Cricetulus griseus: one gene and its partners. The protein of the gene in region 1 purifies or fractionates together with the protein of each later gene. This does not show direct contact. Links are inferred from orthologs where the notes say so. Each region holds a gene or a part of one and is shown in the gene's direction. Other genes may lie near its edges.

Evidence for each region.
Region 2: the proteins of Rngtt (region 1) and Supt5h purify together in Homo sapiens (affinity purification with mass spectrometry; 3 studies listed by BioGRID and IntAct, with this or other methods). This does not show direct contact. The link is inferred for Cricetulus griseus from reciprocal best matches to the Homo sapiens genes RNGTT and SUPT5H.
Region 3: the proteins of Rngtt (region 1) and Ppp4r3a purify together in Homo sapiens (affinity purification with mass spectrometry; 3 studies listed by BioGRID and IntAct, with this or other methods). This does not show direct contact. The link is inferred for Cricetulus griseus from reciprocal best matches to the Homo sapiens genes RNGTT and PPP4R3A.

Annotation. Positions count from the first base shown.
Region 1 is NC_048595.1:108,704,722-108,709,084, reverse strand, and holds part of Rngtt (mRNA-capping enzyme), read left to right. Parts: intron 1-1,697; coding exon 1,698-1,773; intron 1,774-2,816; coding exon 2,817-3,057; intron 3,058-4,363.
Region 2 is NC_048602.1:7,548,877-7,553,239, forward strand, and holds part of Supt5h (transcription elongation factor SPT5), read left to right. Parts: intron 1-1,541; coding exon 1,542-1,707; intron 1,708-2,293; coding exon 2,294-2,359; intron 2,360-2,892; coding exon 2,893-2,904; intron 2,905-3,303; coding exon 3,304-3,373; intron 3,374-3,492; coding exon 3,493-3,561; intron 3,562-3,718; coding exon 3,719-3,784; intron 3,785-3,975; coding exon 3,976-4,006; intron 4,007-4,301; coding exon 4,302-4,363. UniProt on the Homo sapiens protein: Component of the DRB sensitivity-inducing factor complex (DSIF complex), which regulates mRNA processing and transcription elongation by RNA polymerase II.
Region 3 is NC_048598.1:104,710,903-104,715,265, forward strand, and holds part of Ppp4r3a (serine/threonine-protein phosphatase 4 regulatory subunit 3A), read left to right. Parts: intron 1-597; coding exon 598-740; intron 741-1,983; coding exon 1,984-2,174; intron 2,175-2,582; coding exon 2,583-2,809; intron 2,810-4,329; coding exon 4,330-4,363. UniProt on the Homo sapiens protein: Regulatory subunit of serine/threonine-protein phosphatase 4. May regulate the activity of PPP4C at centrosomal microtubule organizing centers.

The DNA of each region.
Region 1 (4,363 bases):
ATATATCATATATATATATATATATATATTTTAAATTAGGATGTAGCTTTATGTTCTAGGCTGGTCTCACCAAACTTTAGCTTCACTCTTCTAAATAATGGGATTTCTTGTGTGGGGTACCACACTTGGTTTCTGTGAGAGTTCATTCTGAGTCTGCAGGAGACTAGCAGCAATATTAGTTAGTAAAGCCATAGAACTCTTAATTTTTTCCTTTTATATTTTTGAGACAGTGTTTTTCTGTGCATCCTTGGCTGTCCTGGAACTTGTTCTGTAGACTAGGCTGCCTTCGAACTCAAGAGATCCGCCTGCTTCTGCCTCCGGAGTGCTGTGCAGTGGTCAGGCTTTAATTACTATTTCCAAACTCTCTGTTGTTTTTCGCTTTGAGACAGGGTCTTACTATGTAGCCCAGACTGGCATTACTCTTGGACTAATCTTTCTGCTTCAGGCTTTTCAATACTGGAATGAAAATAGGGATGAAAAAGCTTAAAACGGTTAAAATGATCCCTTCCACTTCTCTCCTTCCCTCCATCCCTCCCATAGCCTAGCTTTGCCTTAACTTGCTGTATAGCTGTAGGTGACCTTGAACTTCTGATCATCCTCCTTATATTTCCTAAGTGCTTTGATTCCAGGGTGTATCACCATGCCCAGGGAAATGATCTTGAATATATTGTGAAAGAGGGTTTAAGAAAAATAAATTTATTTTCTTCAGGTGTTTCTTTCTTGTAAAAATTCATTTTAAAATAGTATAAGCCCCATGTGAAGGTACACTCAGTTGGTTTATAAAGCACTTCAAAATAATACAGGTTTACTATATTGAGTCAGTCCATTATCTGCAGCTGTCTTAGTCAGTGTCCTATTACTGTGAAGAGACACCATGACCATTGACAACTCTTATAAAGGAAAGCATCTAATTGGGGCTGGCTTACAGTTTCAGAGATTTAGTCCATTGTCATGGCAGGGAGTGTAGTGGCATGCAGGCAGACGTGGTACTAGAGAGATAACTGAGAGTTCTGCATCTGGAATGGCAGGCAGCAGGAAGAGAGAGACACTGGGCCTGGCTTGACCTTCTGAAACCTCAAAGCCCATCCCCAGTGACACACTTCCTCCAACAAGGTCACTTCTATTGCAACAAGGCCATGTGTCCATATCCTTTCAAATAATGCCGCTCCCTATGAGCCTATGGGGACCAGTTTTATTCAAACCACTACAGCTGCCAATCACTTTAGTTGATTACAGTCAACTACTGTTAATCCCCAGATGATTTTATATCCCATATGGTTTTTTTGGTCTGAATTTTGACTTTCTTTCCCAATACAGTTTGACTATCTTTCATGTTGATCATAAGGAAGGCTGGGAAAACTGGATTATAAGGTGCCTTGTTTTTGTGTGTATCCTTCTGACCTGTGTGTTTAAAACTAAAATTCTTGAAAAATTTTAATGTCAAATTTTAGACGGTAGAGTTTTAGACCAATAAACCAGTGTATTATTTTAGAATTTTTGTCTAGTGCTGTAAGTTAGAGCCTAAACAACTTAAATTAATAAGCTATTAGTTAAAGGAGTATTTTGAATTTTTAGAATGTATAAATGTGTAGTGTAACTAAGTAATTAACTGAACTGTTTGGAAAGCAGGTTGTCATTTAAAACAGAATGTGGCATTTGGAGTGGTTCAGTTTAACCCAAGCTGCTTTCTCTTCTAGGTGTTCACTGCACCCATGGCTTCAACCGGACTGGTTTCCTCATATGTGCCTTTTTGGTGGAGAAAATGGATTGGAGGTATATAGATTTATTATAGTGGAAGAAGATGTATGTGACAATTCATGGTGCTTATGAAGCCTATAAAATGGTGTACTTACTTTTCCATGTTGTTCTTGTATTTTAGAATTAGCACAGGTTGGGTCTTCCAATGTTTGTGTTTGTATTCAGCTTTGGAGATGTCTGTTGTTTTCCTTTTTAAATTTATCTTTTATAGCTGTTAATTACTAGTAAAAACATACAATGCTATATGAAGGAAGCATTTTAGGATGGCATTACCCCATTTAAATAAATCTTATCTTTATTGAACATGTTACTTGTAAAGTATATTTTTAGATTTTGAGGGATTAGAACCTAGTAATCTGGAATTCTTATGAGGATAGGATATTGCTGACTGAATTTTCTTATTACTGCTCTAGGTTCATAGTTTATATTTCTAAAACCTTATACCCAGTTGGTCCTTTTTTTTTGTAATACAGTAAGGCAAAATATGGATCTGACTGTTTTCTATTCGTTTACACTCAGTGGTTTTCTACTTTGTGTATTTTTCAGCTTTGGCCATTCAGAATACTATATACAATAACATCAGACTCATATGCCAGACTCAGCCAATGCTTCCCTCCCTCTCAAGATGTGTAATCTTGGTGACTGGGTCTGGGTCCATTGGCAGTTTCTTAAAAATCAATGTGTTTGTTTACTTTGCTGTTCACTTTTTCTTGACTGCTCTTTTATCTATGAGACCTTGACCTTCAATGTTTTATTAAGATTTCTTTTCATTGGCTATCCATGTCTGTCATAAACACAGCAATGTACTTTAGACATTTATAATATACTATATATTAGAAAATACTAAATATTATAGTGGACTATATGTTGCAGTATACCATGTGCATGTGTTTTTAGAATCAGTTTGTCATTGAGTGAAAACTTTCCTGATAAAGAAAGATTTTAGTTTGTCTATTTTATATGCCTGTTATACTTTTTGTGGTATGTTGGGTATGAGTTGTTGATAAGTCCACATAAATGGACACTAGTGAGAAAATTGCATTGATTGTTTTCCATAGCATTGAAGCAGCAGTTGCTACATTTGCCCAAGCCAGACCACCAGGAATCTATAAGGGTGATTATTTGAAGGAACTTTTTCGTCGCTATGGTGATATAGAAGAAGCACCACCACCACCTGTATTGCCCGATTGGTGTTTTGAGGATGATGATGAAGATGATGAGGATGAAGATGGGAAAAAGGACTCAGAACCGGGGTCAAGTGCTTCCTTTGGTAAAAGGAGAAAAGAACGGTTAAAACTGGTAATGTTCACAAATACTGAATATTCTTTTAAAAGTGTAATTTAATTTTAATTACATTCATTTATTTTGTATATATGCATGCTTGAATGTATGTGCCTTTGTATGGGAATGGCACAATATGCCTTTGGAGGTCAGAAGGGAACTTGTGGGAGTCAGTGTTTTTTTCATACTATGTGTGGGTCCTGGGGTCAAAGTCAGGTTGCCAGGATAACTGCAGGAGCCCTTACCTGCTGAGCCATCCTGATGTCCCCAAATACCATACCATAGTACTCTGTTTTTGTTTAAACTTAGTGTGGGATGTTCTCTCTCTCTCTCTCTCTCTCTCTCTCTCTCTCTCTCTCTCTCTCTCTGTCTGTCTGTCTCTCTTTCTGTATATCGAAGAGCATAATAGTGGTCTCTGATTTTATGAAATTAATTTTGGTTCTATGTGAAACCCATTAAGTAAGTTCTGACATCATGAACCAGATGGAGACCTCAAGTCCAGGCTCATCTCAACTCCCAATCCTCCTGTCAGAGTGTTGAGTAATATTCTTAATGCTGAGATAGATTATAGGCATTCCCCACCATGTCTCACTTTTAAAGATTAGCCAGCCAATTGGTCTTTAAAGTTTTGTCTTACAAAATTATTTATTCGTTGGATAGAGGGACTTGCCTGTTGTGGTGAGAATGTGAGGTCAAGAGCCACTTGTGGGACTTATTCTTCTTCATCCATCTTGTGCTTTCTGGGATCAAACTCAGATTGTCAGCCTTGGAAACAAGTGCCTTTACCTGCTGAGCCATTTTGCAGCCTAGCAGTCTTTCTTTTTCTTCAGAGAAAAGCTGAAGTTAAGAAATTTCATCCTTGTTTTGTTTCTTATGTAAACCAAAGAACTCCTAGATGTTAGATTGGCATTAGCTAATAAACTACTAACTGCATTTAGTATTAACAATAGACTTAGTATATTACCTAATAACCATTGAGAATGTTTCTGCAAAATAGTCATACAGGTAATGTCACTGTCCCCTGCCATAGGTGGTGTTTCTTTTGTAGTATATACAACTTAAGAAGACCTCTGCTTCCATAGTCAACTTTTCTTAATCTTCCAGGATTAAAAGTTTTAATGAAGTATTAGGAATTGGGTTGTGGCTACAACTCAGTTGGTAGAATACTTGCCAAGCACTCATGAAGCATTGGGTTTGTTTCCTAGCACTGTATAAATGGTGCATAATAATACATGCTGATTCCAGCATTCAGGAGTTCAAGGCCATCCTCTGCTATGTAGTTGTAGGCAAGGATGGGATACATGACCCTGTGTTTAATTAAAAG
Region 2 (4,363 bases), on another chromosome or scaffold:
TAAGATAAGACCAAGCTTTCATAATTAATAATAAGTCTCTGTGAAGTTATTTGTGAGCTGATGGCCCAGAGAAAAATCCATCTACAGAACAGGGATTAAAAACCAGGGGGTGAGCTGGGCGTTGGTGGCGTACGCCTTTAATCCCAGCACTCAGGAGGCAGAGGCAGGAGGATCTCTTTGAGTTCCAGACCAGCCTGGTCTACAAGAGCTAGTTCCAGGACAGCCTCCAAAGCCACAGAGAAACTCTGTTTGAAAAAACCGGGGGAAAAAAAACAAAAACAAAAAACCAGGGAGTGAGCTGGATGGTGGTGGCATGCACCTTTATCTCAGCACTCAGAGAGGCAGGCGGAGCTGTCAATTTCAGGACAGCCCAGTCCACAGAGTTAAGTTCCAGGACAGCCAGAGCTACACAGAGAAATGCTGTCTCAGGGAGAAGGAAGGAGGGAGGGAGGGAAGGGAAGGGAAGGGAAGGAAGAAACCAGGGGGTGTTCAGAGGAGAGCAAGGCCAGGGTCCAGTGCTGGAGGGCAATGTGCTGGTCTAGGCTTGGGACGCATTGAGTGGAAGGGCCTGGAGCAGTGACAGTCACAGGCAGAAAGGGAGAGCTGGAGCCAGCATGGCTCTGGGGACAGCACTGTGGTCACAGTGGACACAGGACAGAGACTGTTGGTCTGGTGTACCCAGAGGGTATCTAGGGAGGTGACCCAGAGACTGCTGCACGTGGCACGGACTCTGTATGTGGAGAAAGTGGAGAGGTAGCGGCATGTGGGCATCAGCAGCAGATAAGGGAGGGAGCTGTGGTAATGAAGGGTAAATGGCCCACTGACAGAGGTGTGGGAGGAAGGAGAATCATGGCCCTGACAGAGCGCTAACTCCATCTAAAGCTGCCTTTAAGAGGTGAGTGGAAGCCAGGTGTGCTGGTTACACCTGTAACCCACTGCTGGGAAACAAACAGGAACACTGCCACAAGTTCAAGACTAGCCCAGGCCACAGTGAGTTCCAAGGCAGTCTGCCTTACCAGAGGTAGCATTTGACCTTGGGTTAGTGGTAGAGGAAGTGCAAGGGAAGCACCAGAGACCATCGATGGGTAAGTATTCACTACCTCAAACAGATCCAGAGGGAGGGACTCTTCAGGAAGCACAGAGTGGGGCTGATGACCAATCACAAGGTACAGCCGCTTAATGACCCTCAGAGCAAGGGATCCAGTGAAGGGATTGGCTCCCAGGGGCTGGTTGGGTGTCTGGGACATGGCTGTGCTGTCACTTGAGTTAGGACAGTAACCTAAGGCCTGGCCAGGTAGGGACTGTGAGCTCTCTTTCTCTCTCTCTCTCTCTCTCTCTCTCTCTCTCTCTCTCTCTCTCTCTGTGTGTGTGTGTGTGTGTGTGTGTGTGTGTGTGTCTGAGAGAGAGAGAGAGAGAGAGAGAGAGGGAGAGAGAGGGAGAGAGAGGGAGAGAGAGAGAGGTGTGTGTGTGAGTGAGACATCAAGGTTTCTGGATTTGTGGAGAGTAGAACGCTGGTGCCCCAACTCTGCTTGACCCTACAGGGTCAAGATGGACGGCGGAGTGCAGCAGGCAGTGAAAAGGATGAGGAGCCTGAGGAGGAGGAGGAGGAGGAGGAAGAGGAGGAATACGATGAGGAGGAAGAGGAGGAAGACGATGACCGGCCCCCAAAGAAACCACGCCATGGGGGCTTCATTTTGGATGAGGCTGGTATGTCATAGGGCCTGGAAGCATTGAGCAAGCTTGAAGTACACGAGACATGAGACTGTGTGTGGCTCCAGTGTTGTGTATGTGTATATACATGCATATGAGGTAGTGGGGTTGACTCTTCCAGAGCCACATCCCCAGAACCTCACTGGTGGATTCTAGGCAAGTGTTACAGCCTCTGAGCCATATTCTCAGCCCTCTTTATTTTTATTCTGAGACAGAGTCTTGCTAAGTTGCTCAGGCTGGCCTTGAACTGACAGTGTAGCCTAAGTTGACCTTGAACTTGCAGTTTTCTGCTTAGCCTCTCATGTAGTCGGGGTGCCTGGCCTGTACTATGGGGCCTGACTCAGAATGCTGTGGTTACAGGGTGTGCCACCATGCCAGCTCTGGTTGTATTTGTTTAGAAGGGATATGTGTGGTTGGGGTAGAGTGGAGGAGGAGATGGCCTTTAGAGATAGGTGGGTCCACATGACACCGCCTCCACTGTACCAGTCTGTGGCATGACCTTGTATAAAGAATTCTTGCTAGCGGAGCTGCTGTTCTGAGGTCACCTTTCATCCCTGCTGACCACCTGGCTTTCCCATTTCAGATGTAGACGATGAGTATGAGGACGAGGACCAGTGGGAAGATGGAGCTGAAGACATCCTGGAGAAAGGTGTGTGTGGGACCTGCCTGCGAGATCACGTGGGGTGTGGCTGTGCCTGGGAGGGTGTCTTCTAAGCCCTTCCCCATACCCCATGCCCTGCAACCACCCCAACTCTCACTCTCTTCACCTTGCTTCTTTCTGTCCTTGCCAGAGAGACGGCTCCCCCAATCCTTTTCCTTTTAGGCCCATGAGTGGGGGGCGGGGACTGTTGGGTGGGTGGTGGTACAGAGAGAGTATTCTGGGTATCCCTTTTGTGGGGTGTAGGGTGGGTGGGCTCGGTCCCACAATACCCCCCACTTGCTGGGCCAGTGCCCCCTTCCCTGTTAGTTTCCGTTCTGTGCGCCTCATACATTTCGGCTTCTCCTCACCCACCTGATGCCTGGCCTTTACTTTTGGTTTTTGACCTTCCTGTGTCCCTCCCTTTGCCCCACCCCATTGGTTGATTTTGCTGCTATAATTTGGCTCATACTTTGTCTACCCTGCATACCACCACCACCACCACCACCACCACCACCACCACCTTCTCCTCTTCCTCCAAGTAGAAGAGATTGAAGGTAAGAACTGGGCAAGTGTGGTCTGTGGCTCTCCTCCCATCTCCTTTGTGGCCCTGGGGCTGTGACTCACCTGGGTGCAGGGCTAGGCAGTCTTGGGTGTCCGACCTAGGGAGCTTAGACATTCCTGTGCCCATAGGTCTAGATGTAGTGCAGGCAGGAGTCTGAAGCAGGGGAGCGCAGGGTGACTGTGAGATGAAGAACTGATGAATGTCCCCTCCCCCCAGCAACTGGACCTATCCCTGAGCACATATGCTGAGAAGCAGGGAGTTGAGGAGGACAGAGGGTGGGGGAAGAGGGTGGGGGTTACTCAGCCCGGTATCTCCTGCCCCAGGGCCAGTTCTGGCCCCAAAATCCCCAAGCCCATTTCTAGCCTGACGCTCCCTGCACCTCTGTTTCCAGCCTCCAATATTGATAACGTTGTTCTGGATGAAGACCGTTCTGGGGCTCGCCGCCTGCAAAATCTCTGGAGGTAAGCAAGTGAGGAGACCTGGGTGGAACCCAGCTTCCTTGGACAGACGTGGGGCAGGTCAGCCTGCCCTCCGGTCCTCCACTTTTCTCCATGTCTGTTTTCCCCCCCTCGTACCCAAGGGACCAGAGAGAAGAAGAGCTGGGCGAGTATTATATGAAGAAATACGCTAAGTCATCTGTGGGAGAGACGTAAGTGCCTGGTGGGCAGGCGCGGGCGGTCCTGGGTGGTAAGCAGGTGTGATCTGTTAGAGCACCATCCCCTTCTTTCCCAACACTGTCCTCTCTAGGGTGTATGGGGGGTCTGGTGGAGCACCATCCCCTTCTTTCTCAACCCTGCTCTCTCTAGGGTGTATGGAGGGTCTGATGAGCTCTCGGACGACATCACCCAGCAGCAGCTGCTCCCCGGAGTCAAGTAAGAGAGTGGGAGAAGGGTAGAAGGCCGAAGGTGGGGTGCAGACATGCAGGAGGGTGGGGGAAGTAAGACCCCCTGTGTGTAATTGATGAGAGCTGGGCCCTGGGCTGAAGCAGGGCAAATGGTGTGGATTGTGTATTACTGAGGAGACAGTTTTGGTAACTTTGTCCTGCTAATCCTGTGCTCTGTAGGGACCCCAACCTGTGGACGGTCAAGTGTAAGGTGAGTGTTCTGGCCTTGGGCTGTGGTAGGGGAGGACCATTTGTCTTCTCTGGATCTTCTTGGACAGCTAGTCTCTGTGTCCTTCTCTGTAGCTGCCTCTCTGTGCTCCTTTCCTTGTCTGTCTCTCTCTGTCACCCCGCTTTTTCCCTTTCTTCTCCCTTAGTGTCTTGTTCTTGCAGTCTATGTCTCTCCTCTACATCTTCCTGCCCTCCACTTGCCCGACTCTTTTTCCTGCCAGTTTTCTTGTGTCCTGCTCTCTTCCTCTTCAGGTCTCCAAATCCATCTCTCTTTCCAGATTGGGGAGGAACGAGCCACAGCAATTTCCTTGATGCGCAAATTCATCGCTTACCAGTTCAC
Region 3 (4,363 bases), on another chromosome or scaffold:
GGTGTGGTGGCTCGGTTTAATCCTAGTACTCCTCATACCCTTTCAAACAAAAAGAATTGTGATAAGATACACAGAATGTCAAATGCTTGTGATTTTCTTCATTGTCAGATGTATTCTCAAAGGGTAGTATCTTTTATGTTACTGCACAACAGCCACAGAAGTCCATCTCCAGAACTTTACTGTAGACTTTTTCTGTTATTTAGTATGTTTTTGAGATTAGGGAGAGTCTTGCCCTACGGTTTATGTGGGCCTCGATCTCATGACCATTCTCCTGCCTCAAGCCTTTGTAAGTTCTGGGATTGCAGGTGTGTACCACTGTGTCCAGTCTTTGGGAACCAGAATCACTAGAATAGGGCTTGGTTGGACATACACGCTGGGAACACCTGTGGACAATTCCCAGATAGACCAAAAGCTGCATACTATTGATGGTGCCAGTGTAGTATATGTTATTCCCATTTTCATTGTTTGACTATTTTTAAGTTTATAAGTTTATGAGATAAACTTTTGGTGAGTTTTAGGAACTACTGTAATAATGCCTCATTTTGTTAAAGTTGTGTCTATGTGTCTGATTTATTTATTTACAATTCTTTTCTGTAGGAAGATATAAAATCATTAACTGCCCATGTAATTGAAAATTATTGGAAAGCACTAGAAGATGTAGATTATGTGCAGACTTTTAAAGGATTAAAATTGAGATTTGAACAACAAAGAGAAAGGCAAGACAACCCCAAACTTGACAGGTAAGTTACTGCATATTTGAACATGTTCTCCATTCAGCAGTAGATTGTGTGCTGGCTTTCTCGGTTCTTGGCGGTATTTGAGTTGGCTGTAGAGAGAAGATGGGGAAAACATGCTCAGAAATTGTGGGGAGTGGAGGGAATTGCCATTGTCTTTTTCTTCAACATTTATTTTATGCATGTGTGTATCTTCAAATACATGTACTTTGGGATGGGTTTGTCTCAGAACAACTTGCAAGAGTTGGGTCTCTTCTTCCACCGTTTGGGTTCTGAGGTTCAAACTCAGGTTTGTCATACTTGGTAGAACACACCTTTATTCTTTAAGCCATCGTGGCAACCTGTGTGCTAATTTTGCTTGTTTGTTTCTGAAAGTGTAGATGAATTATAGTAAGATCTTTAGATACCAACATAAACTGATATAGTAGTGAGGTTTCACATGATCAGAATATTATCTTAACCAGGTGGTAGTAGCTTTAATCCCAGGCCAGCCTGGTCTACAAAGCAAGTTCCAGGACTGTTACACAGAGAAACTCTGTCTTGAAAAACAAAACAAAAGAATATTATCTTAATTGTTTTTTTAAATGCCATATACCTTCTAGTTATTTAACTAGATTCACACTTGTAGTATTGGTTGTTTTTTTCCCATTAGTTTCTTCTTCTACCTCTTCCTTCTCCAGAAGGGGAGCTTGGGGATTTTCAAGACAGGATTTCTCTGTTTAGCTTTGGAAGCTATCGTGGAACTCAGTCAGTAGACCAGGCTGGCCTCAAACTCACAGAGATCCATCTGTCTCTGCCTCTTGAGTGCTGTGATTAAAAGCATGTACCAATACTGTCCAGCTAATTTTTTAGTATATATGTGGTTTGTCTGCATGTACATGCCTAATAGCCACAAAAGATGAAAAGGTTGTTGGATCCCCTAGGACTGGAGATACAAATGGTTGTGAGCTGCTATTAGATGCTGGGAATTGAACACAGGTCCTAACTACTGTACCATCTCTAGCCTTTGTAGTATGGTTTATAATCTATACAGTAATTACTTAATTCCCATCATTATCAGGCTTAATAATTGAGCTATAACAGTTAGCATTTTAGAAATTTGAAGTTGGATTATACTAGTTTATATTAGATTTGATAGGGTCTGACTTTTAATTAGTAATTGTTCCATTGTGGTTTGGTATTTGGTCTTGGTGGTGACAGGGATCACACCCGGTACCTCATCCCCTTACAGCCTTCCATTTTCTCATAGCATGCGGTCCATCTTGAGGAATCATCGATATCGACGGGATGCCAGAACTCTTGAAGATGAGGAAGAGATGTGGTTCAACACAGATGAAGATGACATGGAAGATGGAGAAGCTGTGGTGTCTCCATCTGACAAAACTAAGAATGATGATGATATCATGGATCCAATAAGTAAATTCATGGAAAGGAAGAAATGTATGTTAAAACAGTGGGCAAGGGAAAGTGAGGCTCTCTCAGTCCAGGTCTTTTATTTCTTGAGAAAATGATTAGTATCTACTCAGAATATACAATGACAGTTCAAAGACCTACAGGACATTGCTGAGTTTCTGACTGTAAAGGTGTAGGCTGAGTTTTCCTAGTTTAAGGAAAATAGTTTGAAGGGCTGGGGGGTATAAATACTAAATGTGATACCAAAGGTCTTTCTTCTGTGCTGTAAAATTTGCTGGATATTAACATTTAGTACTTGGATAGGCTTTGTTAATAGGTTGGACGTCAGAGTTGCAACCTGAGCAAAGAAATAAGCTGGTTGTTTTTTAGTGTCACTTCTTTTAGAGGAATTCAGAAAAAAAATGAGTGACAACTATTTTTACACTCTCATTTTAGTGAAAGAAAGTGAAGAAAAGGAGGTGCTTCTGAAAACTAACCTTTCTGGACGACAGAGCCCAAGTTTCAAACTCTCCCTGTCCAGTGGGACAAAGACTAACCTCAGCAGCCAGTCGTCGGCAGCAAGCCTGCCTGGCTCTCCAGGGTCACCTGGGTCCCCGGGCTCTCCAGGCTCTCCTGGATCCGTCCCTAAGAGTACATCTCAGACGGCAGCTATTACCACAAAGGTACACCTCTCTCTCCCCACATGGTGGTCCTTCTCTGCTGTGCTTTAAGCTTTCTCAGTGGTCAGTGTGCCTAGATTTTATTTCTTTGATTCTCTTTTCTGGAACTAGCTAAAAACTGTTCACTACCTGAAGTCACCTCACGTGTCCTGTACAAAATTTAGTCTGGCTGGGCGCTGGTAGCACAGGCCTTTAATCCCAACACTCGGGAGGCAGAGGCAGGCGGATCTTTGTGAGTTTAAGGCCAGCCTGGTCTACAGAGCAAGTTCCAGGACAGGCTCCAAAACAATACAGAGAAACCCTGTCTCAGCCCCACTCCACCCCACCCCACCCCACCCCCCAAAAAAGGGGGCATTTGTTTTGATGGCTTTTGCTACTTCAGCATGCTCCGCCCACCCCCACCCCCAAAAAAAGAACATAAAACTAATAATAGCAATTAGACCAGACTAATTATACTGGTATAATGCCAGTATAATTCATAGTGCTGTCCAGTCTATTCTTTAGTTCTTTCTTTAAAATGTTTTTGTGTGTGGACACACCACAGCATGTGAAAGTCAGAGGGCAACTTGAAGGAGTCTGCTCTCTCCTTCCACCATGTGGGACCCAGGAATCAAGCTTAGGTCATAGGGCTTGATAGAAAGACCCCTTACCTGCTGTGCCATGTCACTGGCCCCACGGTCTCATTTCATCTGACACTGGCAGGAGATCCCTCAGTGCTAAGGCTGAGTCAGACATGTTGGGAAGAAGGCACGGGCTGGTAGCAGAGTACTATGAATTTTCATAGCTATTCGAGTTGTACTATAGTTTATGGTGGGGAAGCAGACTAAAAGGGAAACCCAGAAGAGAAATAATAGAACTACTTTCTTATCTGCTTTCATTTTGAGTAATCTGTGTTTTGATACCATTTTTTACTTTATTTTGAAATAAGTTTGAGCCAGACATTGTAGTACAGGCTGATAATCCTAGCTTAGCTACTTTGGAGAAGGAAGATTGCTAGCTGAAGGCCTGCCTGAGCAACTTAAGTGAACTCTGGCTCAAAAGGTAAAAATGAAGTCTGGGTATGTTGCAGTAGTAGAGCCCTTGGCTTGAGACATACGAAGCCCTGACTTCAATCTCCAGCCCCATTTAAAAAATGAATTTTATACACTGTTAGTTATAGCCATTTCTCAGTGGTGTTTCTGTTCCTGGGTGATTTTCTAGTAGAGTATAATTTTTTTGTTTCTGTTTTAGTTTTTAGTAGCTTGAAAGAACCTTACAAAGTTCAGGTGGTGGTAGCAGCACATGCCTTTAATCCCAGTACTTAGGAAGCAGAGGCAGGGAGTTCCAGGACAGACGCCAAAGCTACAGAGAAACACTGTCTTTAAAAAAAAGAATCTTATAGAAACATGAACATTTAAAATACCTATAAAAAATAATTAATGGCTTTCAGCGTGCTGCCATTAGGCCTATACTTATTCTGGGTTTAACATGGGTATTTTCAAATTCAGTGTTTTGTTCTTTAAATAATCCTTATTTCTGCACAGGGAGGACTCGTGGGTCTGGTAGATTATCCCGATG